Linked DNA regions of Sus scrofa. The protein of the gene in region 1 purifies or fractionates together with the protein of each later gene. This does not show direct contact. Links are inferred from orthologs where the notes say so. Each region holds a gene or a part of one and is shown on either strand. Other genes may lie near its edges. The genes, in order: NCOA4 and FTH1.

Region 1 (11,648 bases):
TCCTTAACCCACTAGACTACCAGGGAACTCAATGAATGCCCTTAAATCTATATGAGAGAAAGGGTTGGGACAGATGCACAAATGGAGTAAAACAAAGGACTTCAACTTGCCATTTATATAAGTGGTTCTAGCTGTATGAGTTACTTGGAGAGCTTTTGAAACTTGCCGGTGCCGAGGTCCCATTCCAGACCAGGTAAATCAGAATCTCTAGGGTAGAAGCTATGCATCTAAAAGATTCTTGATTGACTCCTACTTGAAACTAGAGTTAAGAAGCATTGATTATTTCAGTACTTCTCAAACTCTAAATGTGCATACTAACACTCTGGAAATCTTATTAAAATAAGGATTCTGATTCTGTGGCCTGGAGTGAGAGTCTTCATGTCACACTGCCTAGGGAGGTGCTAATGTTGCCGGTTCCTCAAGGACACTTCGACTACCACAGATCTAGAGCAATGGTTCTCTGATTCGAACCAGCTGGGGGAATTTTTTTAGAAATAGCAGCCTGGGCTTCATACCCAGAATTTTTTTTTTTCTTTTTTGGCCATCCCGTGGCATTAAGTTCCCATGCTAGGGCTCAGATCTGAGCTGCAGTTTTGACCTACACCATAGCTGCAGGAATGATCTTTAACCCACTGTACCAGGCTGAGGATCAAACCTCGGTCCCAGTGCTCCAGAGACACCACCTACCTGGTTGCACCATAGCAGGAACTCCCCATACCCAGAGATTCTAATTTCATTGTTTGGGGTTGGGACTCAGGCATAGATTTTTTTAAAAAAAGCCCAGGGTATCTCACATGTGCACTTGGGGTTGACAACAAAAGCAAAGGAAAGAAGAGAAATAAGATATTAATCCAGAGATAATCCAGGAGGGAAAAAAAAATCACCCTAAATGCCCCTAGACTCATAATAGCTATTTGATTTAAGAGAGAAGGGCTTATTTTTTTCTTGAAATATTTGTTTTGAAACAAAATCTGGGTGGTTTTAAGCTTGCTGTAAGAAAAAATGATCAGATGATCACTGGCGTGAGCTGAACAGTACTAGAATGTAGTTATGAGTGAATATAGGAGCACTTTTTTTTCTTTTATGGCCGCACCTGTAGCATTATGGAAGTTCTCAGACTAGGGTTCGAATCAGAGTTGCAGCTGCTGACCTACACCACAACCCTAGCAACGTCGGATCCAAGTTGTATCTGAGACCTACACCACAGCTTGCCATACCATGGGCTCCTTAACCCACCGAGCGAGGCCAGAGATCGAACCCATATCCTCACAGACACTATGGTGGGTTCTTAACCTGCTGAGCCACATTGGGAACTCCGTGAGCACTTTTCTTAGACGCCTTTAAAATTGTTGAGATTCTCCCTCTCTGGGAGGGGTGCAGAAGGCAGGGGCTGGTCCCATTGTCCCTCAAGATTTGTTCTGGTTGCATGACTTTGGGACCCCACTGATGATGCTACATGTATTATTTTAGAATGCCAGGATCTTAAAGGAGTCTCACACCCGCTGAACTCTGTGTGGAAGACTAAAGACTGTGAGGAGTGTACTTGTGGCCAAGATGCGATCAGCTGTTGCAACACGTAAGTCTCGAGCCAGCAGGGCCAAGAGGGGGAGGCAGCTGCTTTTGGGCCACCGTCTAAGGACAGCTATGCCCTCTTTCAAAATTCCATCCTGAACAGGCTTTAGTTTTCATTCCTATTTCTTTATCTTCTTTTAAAAAAATTGTGGTGGAATTCCCCTTGTGGCACAGTGGAAATGAATCTGACTAGTAACCATGGGGTCTTAGGTTCTATCACTGGCCTCACTCAGTGGGTTAAGGATCTGGCCTTCTGTGAGCTATGGTGTAGGTCGGCACTTGTATCTCCAATTTGACCCCTAGCTTGGGAACCTCCATATGCTGTGGGTGCAGCCCTAAAAAGAATCCCCCATTATATAGAATTAAGCACTTTATCCATTTTTAAAAGTAAAGTTCCAGTGGTATTAAGTACATTCACCAGTTTGTGCAACCATCTCCACTATCCATTTCCAAAACTGTTTCCTCTTCCCAATCTAAAACTCCATGTCCATTAAACAACTCTCCATCTCCTTCTCCCACCAGGCCCTGGCAACCACCATTCTACTCTCTGTCTCTATGAATTTGACAACCCCAGTGGAATTGTACAATATTTGTCCTTTTATGACTGGTATCAGGAAGAAAAAAAACTTTCCTCTTCCCTTCTAGGTTCTTCTAGGTAATTAGATGTTTACCCTGACATATACATGCAGCCACTTAGGTACAATTTATCTCTGGCAATAACTCTTTTCTGGGAAGAATCCTCAATTTAAATTCTTACTAGATAGTGGGCTGGTGGGCAGTAATTTCTTTTAAATCTGCAGGCTGTCTATTGCTTGTAGCTCAAAATAATGCTCATGCAAAAGTGGCACATTTTAGGGAGACTCATTCTGAATCCTCAGACTGGTATATTTCAGTATAATGTCCTCAAGGATCATCCAAGTTATAGCATGTCTCAGAATTTCCCTCCTTTTAAAGACTGAATAACATTTCATTTCACCGAATATATATACATATTTACGGTGAAATATGGTATACATATTACTGTGTATATATGTATGTATATAGTGAAATACTATGTATATATATATATAGTAAAACATTATTTTTGGAAATTTAGAGGATATGTAAATATGTATACACACACAGTGAAACATTTTTTGAAAATATACATTCATTGAAACACTATTCAGGAGTTACTGTCATGGCTCAGTGGAAATGAATCTGACTAGCATCCATGAGGACGCGGGTTCAATCCCTGGCCTTGCTCAGTGGGTTGAGGATCTGGTGTTGCCACAAACCGTGATGTAGGTCACAGATGCAGTTCGGATCCCGGGTTGCTATGGCTCTGGCGTCGGCCTGCGCTACAGCTCAGATTCAACCCCTAGCCTGGGAACCTTCATATGCTGCAGGTGTGGCCCTAAAAAGATAAAGAAAAAAAATTGATGCCTTCTCAATGCCAGCTATATGTCTCTTGAGCCTGGGACAGTAACTGACTCCTAGTTGGGGCCCAAAGAGCCCCTTCCCTCTTTCCTGTCATGTTTCCTTTCCTGCTTAGCACACTGCTCCACGCAGAGGAAATGTGCACATTTTCTGTACTGCTCAGAGCTGCCAGTTTCTTTCCCTCATAATTTCCTCATCACCTACCAAGTTTTTCTCATAATTTGTTTTTAACAATAGCCAAATACATTTTTTGGTTAAATTTTCTATGGGAGAATTTCTTAACCCATTGTACTCTCTTGGGGACACTGTTCAGATCTCAAGCTGCCCAGTGGCAATTGAGCCTGAGACTGGTGGCCCAGGTTGCTCTAGCCACCCACCCCAAGTACCCTGGGAAAGCTTCTTCCAGTCCTCCCTTTGGGATGAGGATTGAAAAGTCCTCTTTTGTTAAAGTAATCGAGGGTCACCTTTTGGAAGGAAGCATTTGTCACAAAGGGCCTTGGGATGGCTGTTCAGTGTATACTTTGGGGATGGACAATTTAATCTGGGTTTTATGGATGAGTTTCAGGGGGAAAGTGGAGCCGTAAAATTGTTTGCAGCCTTGAATGTGTGGGTTTATTTTCCTGGGGAGCTCGTTTTCAGTCTTCATCAGCTTCTCCTTGGGCTCTGTGGTCCCTACCTGGAGTGACTGAGCACATAAGGTCCCTATCTGGAGCTGAGCCAGCTCCTTCATGTCAGGGTTGGGACAACCAATTCTGTCCCATATTTAAGCAGTAGTACTGTTGGCTACCTCTTGAGCAGGGAAAGTAAGAAGAGTCAGGCTGGAGCAAGCTGCCTGGCCTCAGAGGAGCTCAGACCTACTTCTGGGCCTGTCAGAACTTGCCACAGTCCTGTGTGTGCAGGGGTGGAATATAGCAATAATGTCTGGGAGGTCTGTGTTCATAGCCCTGGTTATCTGTATTTGGATGCAGGGTCCTGAAGGTGGTACCTTGGGGTGCCAGTCAAGGGGTGACCTTTAGTTGGTGGGGGGCATTCCAGGGACCTAGACTGTGGGCTGCTTCCAGCACAGAGCTGGCCCTGGGAAGGCTGGGCATCCTATTCCTTCTAACAGTTCTTATTCTTGTCTCAATGACAGTGCTGCCATACCTACGGGTTATGACACAAATAAGTGTCAGAAAATCTTGAACAAGAAGACCTGCACCTATACAGTGGTGGAAAAGAAGGACCCAGGAAAGACCTGTGATGTCACTGGATGGGTATTATAATGTGTTTCTAGTGGGCCCAGAGCTCTCAGCCTGAGAGGGCCCAAGTTCTCCCATGCCAGGCCTCATTCTCCTATGGCCTCTAACTGTCTATGATTGTACAACCCTACCTATTAGTAAAAAATTCTTGAGCAAACACTTGAATATGTCTGTACTTTTAATTTATAAATTATGTATGCATTTATATAACACACCTTTAAAGCATGCAAACATTTTAAAGGAGACAAAAATAAATGTGAATGAAAGATATAACATCTTCCCTCCACGCCAGTAGATCACTGAGCATCCCCTACTCAGAGGGCTGCTGTTACTTCTCTCGCTTCTGATATATCTTCACTCTGATGCCCCAGCATCCCATTATTTGGTGAACAATTCAAAAAAATGGGTCTTTGAGATGAAATCAGATCCTTTATTTTCTTTGAGGTTTTCTTTTTTACCCTTCCTTTTTGTTCTTCAGAGAGTGTCCTCCTTGCTGTGTCCCTCATATACATCTGTGTTTGCCTGAGGTTAGAGCAGGACAACCTGGAAGAAGTGCCTCCAAGAGCACATACAGCCCAATGGGGTGTTAAAAAGCCAGGGATCTTGCCTTGTGGATGGGAAACGGCTTGCAGGCAGAGCTCTGTAATGGTTTTTAAAATTTAGGGAGTTAAAACAGTGACAACGCTGATCATCTCGTGCTCTTTCTGTGTTAGAGAACGTTTGTTCACTGAAGAGGTCTTTACTAAGTGCCTGGCAGTGCTTTGGGCCTGGGGATACAGTACTGAACCAGAGAGACCAGGTCTCTGCTCTCCTGAAGCTTAGAGTTGTGTGTGTGTGTGTATGTGACAGATCACAAACAAGCAAACAGTTCTCTGTTGGACAATCTGTGGGCAATCGGTAAAGAGATTTTACTTCCCCTCTGCCCGATAACCCTACCTATGCAAACATGCTATGTGGGCTAGTTGAACAATCTAGGCATATCCTGGATTTTGGTCACCCTAAGATAATAAAAATGCACCTTTGGCGTTTCCGTCATGGCTCAGTGGTAACAAACCTGACTATTGTCCATGAGGTTCGATTCCTGGCCTCGCTCAGTGGGTTAAGGATCCATTGTGGCCATGAGCTGTGGTGTGGGTCGCAGATGCGGCTCAGATCCTGCGTTGCTGTGGCTGTGATGTAGGCCCGCAGCTGCAGCTCTGATTCAACCCTTAGCCTGGGAACTTCCACATGCCACAAGTGTGGTCCTAGAAAGCAAAAAAAAAAAAAAAAAAAAAAAAGTCGCCTTGTTCCAGAATCTGCATTTGAATTGAAGAAGGAATGAGGAACAGGAGCTTTAAAAGTATGCTATGCCTATGACTGCCCTTTTAGCGTGTGCATCTAAACCTATGTTTCCTATTGCTTTTTGCTGAGAGAGCCTTGCCCGCTGATGTTCTTGGGTGAGAGGCTGCACTTTTATGATCATCTCCTTCACAAATCCTACTCAGATGGTCTTTCACCTTGCTGGGTAGCACTTAGTTAGTAATGGGAACCTCTGTCAAAACTGGGACAGAAAGGTTCTTATTTTAATATCTGGTCACTACATATATATAACCATTTTAACCATTTTTACGTATACAGTTGAGTGGTACTAAGTACATTCGAATTGCTGTGTGACTATCCATACCCAGAACTTCCCATCATCCCAAGCTAAAAGTCTGTACCCATTAAACAATAATTCCTCTTCCCCAAGCCTGTGGCAACTACTATTTTGTCTCTATAACTATGACTATTCTAAGTACCTCATATAAACGGAATCATCTATTTGTCCTTTTGTTTCTGACATTTACTTCTGCATATGTACGTTAAGGCTAAAAAAATATCTACATCGTGAGGACATTTGGTGTGAGAGAATCACTCAGGATAGTCCTCCTAACAGCTTGCCTTCACAAACGTTTCTCTCCTTTAATCTTATTCTTTGGGGCCCAGGAAAATGTATGCGCCTACCCCCTGCGCCCTGTGGAGGGCAGGCAAGGACCTTGGGCAGACCCTAGTAGAGATCTCGCGAGACTGTCAAATTTGTGATAAGAGACTTGAGAAGAAGGTTGTGTTCTCGCGAGAACTCTGCCTTTCAGACCTTGGCTCGTGTTGGGCCGCGTCTCAGTCCGCCAAGGTCTCCTCGGATCGCCGGGAGCCGCGCTCAGAGGTGGTAAGAACCGGAGGGGGGCCCCGGGGCGAGCTTGCCTCCTACCGCTCTCACGTGGCGGGTCGGTTTGGGGAGCCATGACTGCTTGTTGGACCAGCCCGGCCCTGTCTGGGCCTACCTTTAAAGGCTGGCCTCTCCTTAGACCCGCCCGACCCGGGGGCCACGTCTTCTTGCCTGCCCGCCGGCCAGGGCCTGTTCTCTCCCCGGCCCTCGCCTCTCTTGGCCCGAGGACCACTTCTTTCTCCCTTCCCGGCCCCGGCCTGTCCTCCGCCTCTTCGGCCTTAGACAAGCTGGCCTGGGGACCACCTCCCCCTGCTTGTCCGCCCGCCTTCCCCCCCGCGCCCCGGGTGTGACAGCTTCAGGTTTTTGCTCGCTCTCGCCTGGGTCTTTTGGAGAGGGGAGAGGCCCATTTTCCAGAACATAGCCTGTTGGGTGGGAGCTCAAAGAAGATAATATTTTTTTCGGCCCTCTACCTGCCAACACAGTGTTTTACTGTAAGGTGAATGTAATTCGCCCAACAATACCAAGAGGTAGCTTGATTACCTCCTTTTTATAGCTGAGAAGAGCGAGGCTTGCCAGTTCCACCAACAGTCACTTATAGTGTGCCTATATGTTCAGGATGTTGAGGATATGGCAATGAAAAAAGAGTGGGCACAGACCTTATTCTCATGGAAATAAATTCTTGTAGCAGAAACAATATTCATAAATAGTCTTAAGTGCCACATGATACAACATGGGATGATGCGATCAAGAATGGCCAAAGGCAGAGAGCTGCAGGCTATTTGACCCACAAAGGCAGAGCTTTTTTCGCCTTTTTGTGTTTTTTTTTTTTTTTCCTAATCAGGGTAAGGTTCCCCATCGCGTAACTGTTTCCACCGCCCACCTGATAATACGGACATATGGTTGTAGGGACTGTTGAGCCTTACTGGGTTAGGATGGGGCAGGAAATCATAATTGGTTCATTTCTGCAAAAATGTCTTGGTGTGACATTTCTGAACTTTAAAAAACCTCGGAGCCTTTGAGGAAGACTCACCCAAATGGAGGTGAGGGTGTGGTGCATGTGCCTTCAGGCAAGTTACTTGGTTGCTCTTTCAAAGTTTGCTAGCTTGCAGATTTGTTAAGTAGGTATGATGATATATGTAAAGGCTAGCACAGTAACATTTCTTACATTTTATTTCTCCTTCCCCTTTCTCTATGGAACTTTTGTGAAAATGATCTAAAGTTTTATGATACTGTATTTTGTGTCTAAATAAACTTCTACAGTTACATTACAGGTATTTCAAAAGTGGAGAAGTATGGTAAGCTATGTAGGGAAAGGAAGATGTGATTCTCAAAGAGGGAGAAGAGTTCTTATTTTAGAATTACATAAGGCTCCCTGCCTCACCCCCATTTTATTAAGATTAAGTCAGTTTAGCTGTGCCAGAATCTCAGAAACCTGTGGAGGGGCTTCATAAAACTGCACAGGCTATTCTGATAACACGTTCCTCCACCCCAGCTTCTTAGCTAGTGTTGTATGATAATTTCCCTTGTAGAGTAAGTGTTAGCATACTGGAGGGCAGTCAGAACCAGTCATTGTTGCAGAAGGACTTCTAAATCTGTCTCTTATTTCAAAGTTTCCTTTTTTTTCTTAGTTTTTGGTGAATCAGTGGCACAAATTTTCCTCTAGATGCTTATATCCTCAGGGACTATCACAGTATGAGGCACTCAGTAAATATTTGTTGAATGAATGCCTAAAATCTTAGTACTTAAATGATCCCTTCAACAAACATAGTGTGGTTGGAGACTTTAGACTCAAATCTAGGATTAAATCTTGCTTCTTTTACTTGGAAGCCTGTGACTCTAAGTAATATATCTAACCTTGTCAAGCCGTAGTTTCTTTGTTTTTAAAATTGTGATGGATAATGTATAAGTACCTTAAAGTTTTGTGAGGACTAAATGAGATAATGTGTAAAAATAAAAGTTTGGCACATAGATATATTAAATACTTCCTGAATTCATTTTTCCAACAAATATTTACTGAACACCACTGTATAAAAATGAATACAAAGAGGAATTCCTTGTGTGGCTCAGCAGTTAACAAACCCCATTAGCATCCATGAGGACTCGGGTTTGATCCCTGGCCTCACTCAGTGGGTTAAGGATCTGCTGTTGCCGTGAGCTGTGGTATAGGTTGCAGACGCAGCTTGGATCCTGAGTTGCTGTGGCTGTGATGTAGGCCGGCTGCTACAGCTCCGACCGGTCCCCAGTCTGGGAACCTCCCCATATGCTGCGGGTGCAGCCCTAAAAAGACAAAAAAATTAAAAGGCCAAAAAATAAAAATAAAAATGAACAAAAAGAGAAAGTCCAACTTGTGTGGAACATACCTTCCAGTGTGTTTTCTGAAGTGCGTTTAGAAAAATAGATAGTTTCTACATGTCTGATTGTGAAAAATACTATGAAGGTAGTTAAAAAATATATTAAGGGGGAATATGTGGAAGGAAGACTTATTTCATATGGGATAGTGAAGAAGATTACTCTAAGGATGAGAAGGAGAGTGCACCATATCTGGAGGAAAATGCCAGGGCCATGAGGCATCATTGGTATGTTGGAGGAGCAGCAAAGAGGCCATTGTGACTGGACTGAGTGAGCATAGGAGAGGAGGAGTGGGCAGCAGTAATGAAGTTTCTGCAGGAACACTGGAGAGAGATGAGGGTGACTTATTTCACTGATGAACTACCTAAAATGTCTTGCTTTATTATCATACCCCATTCTCTTATCAAAAGTAATGAAAATAGCTAATATCTATATCTCTTACTGTGTGTCAGGCACTATTGTAAGTGGTTTGCATATATTAATCTTTGACTCTTTCCAGAAAACTATACTCAGACTCAGAGAACAAGAACTTGTCACTATGCAGGATACACAGTGGAATGTACTACTGGAATGGAGAGCACTTTCTCAGTGTTACTGAAGTCAGTGAACTCTGTCCCTGGATACAAACTGGTTAGGTTGCAAGTCTAAAGTGATTATAATAAGAGACCAACCAACATATATGTATTAGGTTAAGTTCAGTTAACTGAAGGAACTGTAGATTCTAGATTCTATGGGAGTTTTATTACTTTTTTTTTTTTTTTTTTGGTCTTTTTTTTGGGGGCTGCACCCTCGGCATATGGAAGTTCCCATGCTAAGGGTCGAATCAGAGCTGTAGCTGCTGGCCTACACCACAGCCACAGCAACTCCAGAACCTAGCTGTGTCTGCAACCTACACCACAGCTCATGGCAACACCGGATCCTTAACCTACTGAGCCAGGTCATAGATTGAACCTGCGTCCTTCCTCGTGGATATTAGTCAGATTCGTTTCTCCTGAGCCAGGACGGGGAACCTTAGTTTTATTACTCTTAATGCTACTTTTTTGGTCCTCTTAAAACTTTATTCTGGGTTTTCATTTTGGCTTTGTTTTCAGTATTTGTGTGTCTAAGTACACTATTGCAACATAGAAGACAGGAACAAGCAGATGGCCTAGGCTGATAGGGGACCAAGCTGACCACTTTTGCTCTGATGAATTGCTTTAATAGTGTTTCTATACTTGTCAGTTAGAGGAGCTGCCATATAGTCCTTCTCAGCTTGTCCTCTTTGCTTGTTAAATTGTAACATTATAGTCAAGTTTACAAACTTTCCACCTTGCCTATAATACCTCAGATCCTGGGGTGTCATCCTCACTCTTTGAACTAGATAGAGTCACTGGCAAGTAAACAGAAAGTTATTCTGAGGGTGTTCATTTTACTTAGCTTCTGATACGAACGCTTCATTCTAACTCTCTTAGCCATTCTTATCCTAAGTCATCATCCCTGATTTTGCTTGGCTTCATTATGCAGTAGAATCAAGATGTTCTTTGAGGCTAGGAGTATGTTTGGGGGGCACTTTTCTCTTTTTGGCCATGCCTGTGACATGCACAAGTTCCTGGACTAGGTGTTGAACCCACAGCACAGCAGTAAATAGCCACAGCAGTGACAGCACCAGCTCTTTAACCCTCTGAGCCACCAGGGAACTCCCTGGGGGCACTTTTGAGGCCAAATAGTCCTCTTATCTAGCATTGCCTCGAGTGCTCTACAAACGTGAAGATTTGTTCAGTGAAGGAGTGAGTAACTGGAAAAATAGATTAAAAGGTTTTTATTGTGGGTTGATCAAAGACAAGAAGTATTTTCATACTTGGGTAATTAAAAATTTCATAAGAATATGATCTTGGGGATATTTTGAGTTTCATTTTGGCTTTATTATTAGTCCCCTAGGCTTTAGAGGAGGGGAAATATTTTATCACTTGCTTACTCCTATGGGGGAAAACTACAAGATGCTTACCATATAAAGTCAAGAATAAAATATTACTGTGGTGGTAGATAAATAACATGTTTATGTAACCTTGGCTGTATTATGAAGAAGTGTCAAGTTGAAGATAAGGCATAGCCCAAGTTATGAAAGCCTACCAGACTTCTGTAATGTCAGCTGGAATTTCTGTGGTACTGCAAACTCTGAGGGAAAAAAAATCCAGACTTGGCTGTAAATACAGTTAATGTTTCCCTTTTAACTCACAAATCAGCTGCTGTTTGTGAATCTGTATCGATGAGCTTTGATGGGTCTGGCTTCAGGAAAGACACTATCTCAATGCCTGTCCTGGAATGGTAGTTTCAGTAGCAATATCCTTGCTAGCTTTATCTTTGAAAGAAAACTATAAGTTACAGTTAATGTTAGAAACATTTCCACCTCTGAAAAACCTTTCTGAATTAATGCAGACCTTAGTGGAACATCAAGTTGATTACTTACATTTGAAGCAGAACCATACTATCCTTATTGTGGCTGGTCTGAACTTGAGCATTCATTTATCATTTATTCATCCATCCATTTATCAAACACATATTAAGCCTCTGGTGAGTTGAGGGCTACAGCACTGCACAGCTCCAGGGATGCCATTCTCTTTATGTCAGTTCAGTAGAGTGCATAGAATGTCAAGGAGGTTGGTAGTTCCAAGATACCTGTACCTGTTTGTTGAGCACTAGGGTGTACATAGGCAAATAATGCATGGTTGGTTCTCTCTGGGACCTCTCAGGCTAAGGAGGCAGACATGTAAAGTGAGGGTAACATATGTTATACACGTATGCTGGAAACTTATACAGATTACAGTGAGGCCAGAGGAGGCAGCAGCTAACTCTATTTGCCCAAAGTATTGAGGAGTGAGATGCTTGGTCAGGAAAGGCTTAATAAT
Region 2 (11,438 bases), on another chromosome or scaffold:
ACCACAGCTCAGGGCAACAACGCCAGATCCTTAACCCACTGAGCGAGGCCAGGGATTGAACCTGTAACCTCATGGTTCCTAGTCGGATTCATTTCCACTGTGTCATGACGGGATCTCCCAATTTGTGTTATCAAGTGTATGAAGACGCTTTTTTGCATTTAAGTGTATGAAGACAGAACCAATGCCTGCCCCTCCAGGATCTTATGGTAGCAGGGAAGACAATCCAAAGGGATCTTTGGAGTTCCCGTCATGGCTCAGTGGTTAATGGATCTGACTAGCACCCACGAGGACACAGCTTCGATCCCTGGCCTCGCTTAGTGGATTAAGGATCCGGCGTTGCCGTAAGCTCTGGTGTAGGTCGCAGATGCGGCTCGGATCCCCCGTTGCTGTGGCTCTGGCATAGGCCGGTGGCTACAGCTCTGATTCCACCCCTAGCCTGGGAACGTCCACATGCCGCGGGATCGGCCCCAGAAAAAGGCAAATAAATAAATAAATAAATAAATAAAAGAAATTCTAGAACACCCAAAGTTAATTAATCAATACTGAAATATATCAGAAGAGTGGCTGTCTTGAAGGGTTCCAGCAAGACTGGAAAGGGATACAAAGAAACTTTCTGGGATAACAGAAAGACTGCATCTTGTTAAAGCTATATGCAAGTTATCAACATACATTTAATGAAACAACTAAGATTCTGCATTGTATTTATGTTAATTTACCCTAATTTTAAAAAGTTAAATCACTCATTTTTTGCAAAGAAAAGATTAATTTTGTTGGCTTTTTACTTGATTCCAGTCAGCTTCACAGCCCAGTAACTATATTAAAATTTTTTTTTTTTTTGCTTTTTTAGGGCTGCACCCACGGTAGATGGAGGTTCCCAGGCTAGGGGTCAAATCGGAGCTATAGGTGCCAGCCTACACCACAGCCACAGCTACAGCCACGTAGGATCCAAGCCGCTTCTGCAATCTACACCACAGCTCACAGCAATGCCAGATCCTTAACCCACTGAGCGAGGCCAAAGATCGAACTCGCAACCTCAGGATTTCTACTCCGATTCATTTCCACTGTGCCACAATGGGAACCCCTCAAAATTCTTTTCTAAGGAGTTTCTGTCCTGGCTCTTGGAAACGAATCTGACCAGCATCCATGAGGACACAGGTTCGATGCCTGGCCTTGCTCAGTGGGTTAAGGATCCAGTGTGGTGGTGAGCTATGGTGTAGGTTGTACAGATGTGGCTAGGATTTGGTGGTGGTGTGGCTGTGGTGTAGGTCAGTGGCTATAGCTCAGAATCAACCCCTAGCCTGGGAACATCTATACGGCCCTAAAAAGACGAAAAAAAAAAATTTTTTTTTCCTAGAATGCCTTTCTCAAAGATGTAACTCTACATATTTTGAATTTATCAAGCTTATGAGGGATCACACCCTTTGTTCTTTTTCCCTGAGTGCTTTGTCCAACTGAAAGAACTTACTAGAGACTGCCTTAATGTATTCATATATTTTAACAGTGTGACAGCCATGCCCTTGATTTGGTCCTTACCCTGAGGCTTCACCTTAATCAGCCTTTGTTACTCAAAAGTATTTCTTGTTTGTTTGTTCGTTTGTTTTTTGGCTGCGCCCACGGTATGCAGAAATTCCCAGGCCAGGAGTCTAAACTTGCACCACAGCAGTGACAACACGGGATCTGTAACAGGCTGAGCCATGAGGGAACTCCCTCAAAATATTTCCGGATTTTATTTTTTACTGGTTGAAAAAGACCAAGTGTTCTAACTTCAATACAAGTCCCAGAAATTTTGGATTCCCTCTTTTCCTCTTCTTTCCACTTGCAAAGAGGCCAGTTCTGTTTTAAATTCATTTCTTTCCTGTAATCAAATGCACCTAATAACCACGGTGCTCTAGTACGTTCCGCTTTGCAATGTGTTACCTTTCGGAGCTCTTTCAGGAATCACAGTGTCATTGATATTCTTTGCTTTGGCAAATGGTTTATATTCTGAAGACTTGGCCTTTTTTCTTCCAGCCAGTTCTATAGTTGGTTCTTTGTGTTTGGGCATCGTCTCCAGGGAGGTGCGTGTGTTGGCGGGGACGGGCTGGGGGGGCGGGTAGGGGTCACTCTGGCTCCCCCGCAGCCCAAAGTCTCCCACCCTCCGTGTTGCCAAACCGATCATTCACCATGATTTTTCATTTTTAAGTAATCACATCCGCCAACTGCCTTCTTTTTATGGCTTTTGACAGCCTCAGAAGAATACTCGTTACCCCACTGTTCTAAAAGGTAATCTTATACATAGCCTTCGAATAACTTTATAGGTTGTTTTTAAGGCTTGGACCTTTAATCCCTCTGAAAGGTATTTTGAAATACAGAGTGAGTCATCTTCCCCCACATGACTCAATTGTTTCAACACCATTTGTTGAATGTTTTTTCTCTCCTAATTTGAAATGCCACTTTAGCAGACCAAGTTCCTGTTCTTATGGGGGTTAGACCATTTAGTTGCATTGATTTACTGAGCTCTTCCTACACCAGTACCAATGAAATATTTTATTTTATTTGGTCTTTTCTAGGATCTCACCCTTGGCATATGGCGGTTCCCAGGCTAGGGGTCGAATCAGAGCTGTAGCCCCCGGCCTACACCAGAGCCACAGCAACATGGGATCCGAGCTGCGTCTGCGATCTACACCACAGCTCACAGCAACGCCGGATCCCTAACCCACTGAGCGAGGCCAGGGATCGAACCTGCAACCTCATGGTTCTTAGTGGGATTCGTTAACCACTGAGCCACGACAGGAACTCCATACCAAGTAAATATTTTATACTACTTTTTTTTTTTTTAGTATCAGGGAGGGCAAATCTACCCTCATAACCCCCCCCCCATGCTTATCAGCTTTTCTACACACTCTTCCAAGTGAACCTCAGAGTCATTTTGTCAAATTGCAGAAAGACCACTGAGTTTTACAGAAACTGCCCTGAATTTACAGGTTGGTGTGGGAAGTCTTTCCCAAACTGAGATTGGCCATCTAGAAACATGGCGTCTCTTCATTTATGCAAGTTATTCTGTCCAGCAATAAACACGGTTTTCTTCACACACTTCTTGTTAACTTGATCCCTGGGTACTTTAAGCTTTTGTTGTCAATGGAAATGAAAGCCATTTTTCTCTTTCACTATGTTTTCTAACTTCTAGTTACTGTTACATAGGAAAACTTTGCATCTGGTGACTCTGTCATAATCTTATCCCAAAAGTTTTTCTGTTGATTCAGTGTAAGGTTTCTAAAAACAAAACATAGTATTTCTCCAGCTAGAAATCCTTTCTTTCCTTGTCTCTTTTTTCCTTTTGGCCATGCCTGTTGCCTGTGGAAGTTCCAGGGCCAGGGATCCAACCCACGCCACAGCAGTGACAACACCAGGTCCTTAACCTGCTGTGCCACAAGAGAACTCCTAGATATTCTTTAGAGCTTCCATGTTCAGGATAAAGTTAAACCCCTTTTTTGGGCCCCCAACCCTTCCTGATCTTGCCGCATGCTACCCTTCCAGACTTCTCCAATAGGGACTGTAGTTTCAGGCCAACACATTTTCTTTCTGTCTGTCTGTCTATCTTTTTAGGGCCACACGTACAGCACGTGGAGGTTCCCGGGCTAGGGGTCCAATCGGAGCTACAGCCGCCAGCCTACACCCCAGCCACAGCAACTTGGGATCTGAGCCGCATTTGCAAACTAGACCATGGCTCATGGCAAAACCAGATCCTTAACCCACTGAGCAAGGCCAAGGATTGAACCCACAACCTCATGGTTCCTAGTCGGATTCGTTAGCCATTGCACCAAAACGGGAACTCCTCAAATGTCACTCTCTTTAGGGCAGCCTTCCTTGAACTCCTATCCCAGACTGGGTAAGGCACCCTTGGTATTCACCCATCATCCTTCTTAATTTCTTGTCTGCAGCCCTAGCCCCATTAAAATTTTTTTTCCTTAAGTAACATATGTACATTTGAAATGAATAAAGACCCAAGAGAAATCGCTGTAATTCCACCAGCAACTTGTTTTCCTATTTTAGTAAAGTTCCTTTAATTTTTTGTTGTAAAGCTTTTAGAAGTACAGCTTACAGTTGGACATTTGTGAATATCCTGAAAAGGGTCTTGGGTAGGTCCCCTACCCACGTGTTGAAGGGCCTGATTAAGAATCGTGGACCCTGGGGGCAGCAGATTGGGTCTGCCTAGCTCCAGTTCTGCCACCCACGAATTCGCACCCACTCAGTGCCAGGGACACTGCTGCAAGCCACACACAGTGCCCCAGCCACTCCACGTTCTCTGGCATCTGTCCTTCATGTTCCGCGCCTTCAGCTTCTCTCCAAGGACAACCCAGGGGGTGGCTCCCTGTAGAACCGCCTGAGCCTGAAGCTCCTGGGGCTTGATCGGCCATTTCAAAATGGCCTCACAGCATCCTTTTCAGATTCAAGCAGCTTCTTTCCTCCTTTTCTAACCCCCTTGGTCTCTGAGTTGTAAGCTACCGGCCGATTTTCTCAGAACCCTGGTGGCTCACGACTCCCTCGGGAAGGCAGTCTTTCGGGGAAACACGACCCGCCCAGCCTTTGTTGTAGCAACTGCACGAGGAGCCACGTACACTTTCGGCCAAAGCCGGACCGGGCCACCAGAGCTGGAGGAGGCCCGACCCCACCTGCTTTGGGCCCCTTCCTAGGTTTTGAGGAATTGAAAGAGGGCCCTTTCCCCGCCCGACCTCTGCCTCACTCCGGGCCCACGTTCACTCTCCGGGTTCCCTATTTGCATTACCAGGCACCTCGGAGTGTGGCAACTGCAGCTCTACCGCTCTGATTTTTAACATGACCTTGGCCATAAGTCTCGGGGTGCCCGCTTGGGCTCTTGCAAGAGCCTCGACGCCCCAGGGAAGGTTTCCCGTCGGTTGCAAAACCCAGGCTGTCAGAGCCCCGAGAGTCATAGAGTCACAGCCCCGAGCTGGACTTCCTGCCCTTGCTCAGGTCGTCTCTCTCATCCCACGAAACGCACCTCAAGGCGTCTGCGCGGGACGGGGTTCCAAGACTCCCAGGCTTCGCCACCCCACCCCTTCCCTCCCCTCCCCCACCATCCCAGTGCGCCTCCCCCCACCCCCGCCCGCACCCACCGGAAGGGGCGGGGCTCCGCGCGGCGGGCAGGCGGCGTGATTGGCCGCGGCGGGGCGGACGGCCGATGCCGATATAAGAGCCGGGCCAGCGCTACCTGCGCCACAGTCTTCGCGGAGAGTCGCTGCGGTTTCCTGCTTCAACAGTGCTTGGACGGAACCCGGCGCTCGTCACCCGCCCCGGCCGGCCGCTCAGAGCCAGCCCTCGCCACCTCTTCACAGCGCCCTCGGACCGCCCCAAGGCCACCGCCACCGCTCCCGCGCCGCTGCCGCCACCACCGCTCCTCAGCCTCCCGCCATGACGACCTCGTGCTCCTCGCAGGTGCGCCAGAACTACCACCAGGACTCGGAGGCGGCCATCAACCGCCAGATCAACCTGGAGCTCTATGCCTCCTACGTCTACCTGTCCATGGTAAGCGCAGGCTTGGCCGGCGGGGGGCGGGCTCGGCCTCGGAGGCGGCGGGGCGGGGTGTGGCTAGCGGGCGGGGCCTCCCGCCTCCCGCCTCTGCGCGGTTCTGGAAAATGGAGGCTGCTCCGGGTCCCCCAGGACTTCGCAGAAATTCCGAGGAGTCGGCCCTTTCCGACTGACCCCTGGGAGTGCCCCTTTGTAGGCCGACTGCCTCTGCCCGCCCACCCCCCTCCCCCCTCCCCCTTTTTTTTCCTTGCCGCGCTTGCTGCCAGTACCATCCTGCAGTTAGGAAGGTGGATTTTCGCATTTCCATTCCGTCCTCTGCATCCGATCACGTGATCCTGGGCGGAGGCGAAGAGGTCCTGCTCCCATCCCCCAGAATACGGCGGAGCCTGCTGGGTAATGGTGTCGAATAGCAGCCCTGGGGGCTGGTGTGAAGTGCTTTATCTCCAGTGGGCTGACCACCCGAACAGCCGTCTCCACCCGTTTGCTCTGCTTATCGCCAAGTCCCACTTGAATTGAAGCACATCTCTAGAAATCTCTCCTTCCGCCACAGTTGTCTTAGTCACCCGTCCTTGCGCCTGACTACCTCCTCCTTTATTCTTTTTGTCTAAAGGTTGGGGCCTAATCGAACCCTTCGTTCTTGGATAAAGTCCATCCACAGTTACAGGGCCGGCATTTTTTCCATAGAGGGGTCAGTTTTCCAAATTCCTGGTTTTAGGCGGTGTGGTAGGAGTTGTAGAATTGTCTGACCATTACGTAAACCATCCAAGAATAGGCAGGTACCAGATGGGTTTGGAACTGGCCTGGATTTCTATGACTGCCCTTCCATTTCAGGAACACCCAGCAAGGGTCTAAAAGAACCCAGTTTTGCTTTCTACTGTTATGCCTTTATATACATTGTTGCCCACAGCCGTCTACTTCCCTAGTGGGGTACTTTTAGAAATGCATCGGTCTGGCTGTAAGCTGGCAAGTTCATGTTTTAACATGGATTAATCAAGGAGGGAGAAGGAGGAAGCACTAATAGTGCGGAGTAAATACTCCACTTTCCTCTCTTCGACCAGATGTGACACTGGCTGTAAGAATTTAACTTTGGAGTTCCTGCTGTGGCGCGATGGGGTTGGCGGTGTGTCTGGAGCGTTGGGACTTAGGTTCCATCCCTGGCCTGGCACAGTGGTTTTAGGGATCCAGCACTGCCACAACTCTCATGAGGGTCACAGCTGTGGCTCCCATCTGATCTCTGGCCCGGGAACTTCCTCAGACCAGAGGCGGCCAAAAAAGAAAAAAGAACTTTGCTCTAACACAGATCCTGAGGATGTTCCATGGTGGTGGCAAGTCCTGTGATATTCTAAATGCTCCTTGTGAACATTTTTCATTTTTGCCCTTAGGAGTGAGAACTAATGACTGTTTAGTTCGATGCAGCAACGCAGCCTGCTCTGATCTCCTTAGACCCAGACCCCTTCTTGCTGGGCTTTGAGAAAGGAAGCCTAGGCTCACAGACTCCTGTTTTCACTTTTCAGTCATACTATTTTGACCGCGATGATGTGGCTTTGAAGAACTTTGCCAAATACTTTCTTCATCAATCTCATGAGGAGAGGGAACATGCTGAGAAACTGATGAAGCTGCAGAACCAACGAGGTGGCCGAATCTTCCTTCAGGATATCAAGGTGAACAAAAGATTCCAGGGTTGTCGTGCCTGATGTGTCTGGCGCTCCTCAGGTGGCAGAAGGCACAGACCTGAGCAGTTGCTCTTATCAAGACGCAGATACGTTGGGCTTGTGGCTTGTGGCTTTTGTGCTGTTGTGGGCCTATCGTCTAAAGTGGGCAGATGGTAACGGGCAAGGATAGTAAAATAGAAACTGTTGTCGGGGAAGCTTGGATATTCCTTTCGCCAAGCACAGTGCTTACACGTTAGGTGCTTGCTGACTTGGGTTTAAAGGTAGAGGCTGCAGGTGCATTGACTTGGCTCCTTCTCGTTCAGAAACCGGAGCGCGATGACTGGGAGAATGGGCTGACTGCCATGGAATGTGCGCTGCACTTGGAAAAAAACGTGAATCAGTCCCTGCTGGAACTGCACAAACTGGCCACTGACAAAAATGACCCCCACGTGAGTATTGAGGCAACCTGGGAGGAGGAGGAGGAAGTCATTTACCTCGGGGCCTGGGAAGGCTCGCCAGTAACTCTCTTCCCCGTTGTCTTTTCCAGTTGTGTGACTTCATTGAGACGCATTACCTGGATGAGCAGGTGAAAGCCATCAAAGAATTGGGTGACCACATTACCAACTTGCACAGGATGGGGGCCCCCGAGTATGGCATGGCCGAGTATCTCTTTGACAAGCACACCCTGGGGAGCAGTGAGAGCTAAGCCCTAAGCTGGCCTCCCGGAGACACGGGGTGACCCCCCTGGTCACCAAAGCAGTGCATGCATGTTTCGGGTTACCGTCACCTTTTCTATAAGTCCTACCAGAACATCTACTTCAGTTCTTTCCTTAGTGTACCATTCCTTCAAATAAAGTAATTTGGTACCCAGCTGTTGTCTGAGTTCTTGGGATTGGCTAGAAATGTACCTAGGCCATCACTGGTAAATTCGTAAGTGCCATGGTTCAGTCACAAACAAAATGAAACGCTTAGGAGGATTTGTATCTATTTACTAATTAAATTCCTTAGTTTGGGAAAGACACCAAGGCTTGGGTGTGTTGGATTCAGACAGGATTTTAAGCACTCCTGGTTCTGAATTAGGTATTTGGTGTTACATGTTTCCAGCAGTTCTGCCTTTAAAAATTTATATGTACAAAAGGCATTTTAAAGCTTCAAGCAGTCTTGAAACTACTGATTTTTGTTCTCTGCGAAGCTGTTTGGTTCAGGCTGACAGGAACGTGTTCTTCAGTGTGGACAGCCACATGGCTATGACTGGATCAGTGTCCTGGTGTACACGCAGGTGGGACCAGGCCGGTGAAGCATCCCCCTTGGGAAACGGGCTAGGAGTGTGCTTCATCCCTAGTGAGAATTCAAGAAAATTGACATGAGCATGGAAAGGTAGCTTTGTTTCAATATAAAAACTGTTGCAGTAGGAGGGCAGAGGTGGAGGCATCTTGAGTATTAACCAGAGTGGTGGTGGGAGCCTACAGAGCCATCTGTGGCCTTGTCCACGGATCCCTAATAGCCTCTCCTAACCCAGCCAGTGTCCAGCCCTAGAAGCACGACAGGTGGTGGGTTTGTTTCAGTTTTCAATACAAAGCTGTGCATTCTGACCAGAGAATGACAGAATCTAGAAATAGCAAGTTACACTTCCTCCCACATTATGACTGGGGGTGAGGGTAGGGCTAAGAAAAAAGAACTTTGCTTTGCTCTAACACAGTTCCTTAGAATGTTCCATGGTGGAGGCATTTCCACGCGGGCCACCCCAAGAACCTCAAGGGGGCCAGGCTGGACTCACACATTGCATGAGTGTCCAGGGAACCTGCAACAAGGGGAAACGTGGTGGTACTGTCACAGCTTTGGATTGACCTAAAGGAAGCACGAAGAGCTCACTTAAATTCAGAAGTCTTTTTGGTGAGGTCTCAAAAGCAGTAACATACCCCCAAGAGACCTGGATGCCTCCACCCTACCTTGGGCCAGTTCCCAGGGGTGTGGTGGCCTCTGCAGGAGTGCTGGTGGTTGTTGGGGAGGGCTCACATGCAACCCCCCAGCTAGGCCTGGCCAGCAAGTTGAGTTCTTGGGCTACAGCCGGGAGCCCTCAATTCTGCCCATGTTCCTGTGTCTTTACCCCCTACTTTAAGTGAGCTGGGTCCACTTAAAATCCTGCCAATCTAAGCCTGGCCTGGTGGCCCTTCAGCTGCATTCCTGTCAGTGCAGCCTCTCATCATCCCAGAGAAGGCCTGGTGATGTCAGGATCCTGGGTGAGATGAGCCACAGTCCCCAGCGCTTCCCTGGGGCCCTTGCTGTGTGGCAGCCAGGTGTGTGCCCCAAGCCGGTGCTGGGCATAGGTCCCTAGCAGCTGCAGGACCACAGGAAGATCGTGGAAGAAAGGCAGGCTTCCCACCCATGGTGAACCCCGGGGGTTCAGTGACCTGGGTTCAGGGAGAGGACAGACCTGTTTTCCAAGGCCCAGTAGGGATCCCGGTGGTCTTTGATTATAGCGTGTATGCCCATCGGTGGCTCCAAATTCGGTTCTTTGAGATGTTCGGGGGCCTCCGACAGATCGGCCAGGTTAAACTCCACCGTCTTCCTCCTCACGTGACTCCCTTGTAGGGGCTCCGCCGAGGCCTCGGCGCTCTCTGGGAGCAACTCGAAACTCTTCTTGATGCTGGGAGTCGCAGGCTGAAGGCTCTGGTCTTTGGCAGCCTCATCTATGCCCGAGACTCTGCGAAGACCTAAGGGCGCTGACTCTTCGGGTGGGAAGACCATAGGGGTGTGGCCGAGGGTGTCTGTGGGCGCTGTGGTAACCCGGCCTCCCACACAGGGCAGCGGACTTGAAGCCACCCTCCCTCCAGGCCTTGCTGTCTTCCTGGTCGCTAGAGTCCAGCCTGGCCCCCCTGAGGTTCTTGGGGTGGCCCTCGTGGAAATGGCCTTCTTTCTTGGGCCACAGGAGTTTCGTCTTTGAGTTTGTCCTGGGGGGCTGGTGGTCGCTGGATTGCAGCCCCAGGAAGTGGCCAAGGATGCCGGTGTGCGCCTCCTCCTCCTCCTCCGGCTGGAACTCCATGTCCTCCTTACCCAGACTGGAAAGAAGCCAGGGGGTGAGTGGAGGGACAAAGGCCCAAGGCCTGACTCGACTTTCTTTGACCCCTTCTCATACTCTGCACCGTGCATGCAGAGTTGGGGCCTTGGGTTGCATTCCCACACTGAATTGCGTGTTTTGCGGGGACAAGGCCTCTGTGTTATTCTTCTGTTACCCACCCTCCCCAGCTGCTGGAGGACACACCATGGAGACTCAGAGGCGACCTCCAGAAATGTTTCTTTTTCTTTTTGTCTTTTTAGGGCCACTCCCGTGGCATATGGAGGTTCCCAGGCTAGGGGTCTTAATCGGAGCCTTAGCCACCGGCCTACGCCAGAGCCACAGCAACACCAGATCCGAGCCACGTCTGCAACCTACACCACAGCTCACAGCAACGCCGGATCCCCAACCCACTGAGCAAGACCAGGGATCGAACCCACAACCTCATGGTTCCTAGTCGGATTCCTTTCTGCTGTGCCATGACGGGAAGTCTCAGAAATGTTTCTGGCCCAAGCAGGCCCCCATCCTGACCCTCTGGTCATTTTTCCGAACCCTCCTCATACCAACGAGAGACTTGAGCTAATTCTAATTACAGCTTAAAAGGATGGTCGTTTCTTAGGACAGTGCTTTTAATACTCTGGAAGAAAACCTTGATGATATGGTGTCCTGACATGCAGCAAACACTCTCCAAAAGTCCGCTCTACTCTGTCATCCCGGGGAGAGAGAGAACTATCTGGGATGACCCTTTAGCCCACGGCAGCCCAGCTACAGCCCAAAAGAGATTCTGACTAAATCAGGGAAATCAGACCCATGTGCAGAAAAGTTTGGCTGCTGTGGGTGACCTGAGGCTGATACTCTGTAGCCCCGAGTTACTCTTTTTTTTTTTTTTAGGGCTGCACTCAGGGCATATGGAAGTTCCCAGGCTAGGAGTCCAGTTGGAGCTGAGCTGCCAGCCTACACCACAGCCACAGCAATGCCAGATCTGAGCTGTGTCTGTGATCTACACTGCAGCCACGCCAGATCCTTAACCCACTGAGCAAGACCAAGGGATCAAACCTGTGTCCTCATGGGTACTTGTTGGGTTCTTAACCCACCGAGCCACAACAGGAACTCCACACCAAGTCTACTTGGAATGCAGCTATGATGGCCCAGCCCCCTGCTTGTTCCCTTACCCTGGGAATTCCATTTTCACTCCCCATTCAAAC

Evidence for each region.
Region 2: the proteins of NCOA4 (region 1) and FTH1 purify together in Homo sapiens (co-immunoprecipitation; 6 studies listed by BioGRID and IntAct, counting the BioPlex papers as one, with this or other methods). This does not show direct contact. The link is inferred for Sus scrofa from reciprocal best matches to the Homo sapiens genes NCOA4 and FTH1.

The regions. Positions count from the first base shown.
Region 1 is NC_010456.5:90,525,838-90,537,485, reverse strand, and holds the start of NCOA4 (nuclear receptor coactivator 4), read left to right. Parts: upstream 1-6,183; 5' UTR 6,184-6,198; coding exon 6,199-6,414; intron 6,415-11,648. UniProt on the Homo sapiens protein: Cargo receptor for the autophagic turnover of the iron-binding ferritin complex, playing a central role in iron homeostasis. Acts as an adapter for delivery of ferritin to lysosomes and autophagic degradation of ferritin, a process named ferritinophagy.
Region 2 is NC_010444.4:9,529,932-9,541,369, forward strand, and holds FTH1 (ferritin heavy chain), read left to right. Parts: upstream 1-5,119; 5' UTR 5,120-5,409; coding exon 5,410-5,523; intron 5,524-7,040; coding exon 7,041-7,187; intron 7,188-7,501; coding exon 7,502-7,627; intron 7,628-7,725; coding exon 7,726-7,884; 3' UTR 7,885-8,048; downstream 8,049-11,438. UniProt on the Homo sapiens protein: Stores iron in a soluble, non-toxic, readily available form. Important for iron homeostasis. Has ferroxidase activity. Iron is taken up in the ferrous form and deposited as ferric hydroxides after oxidation. Also plays a role in delivery of iron to cells.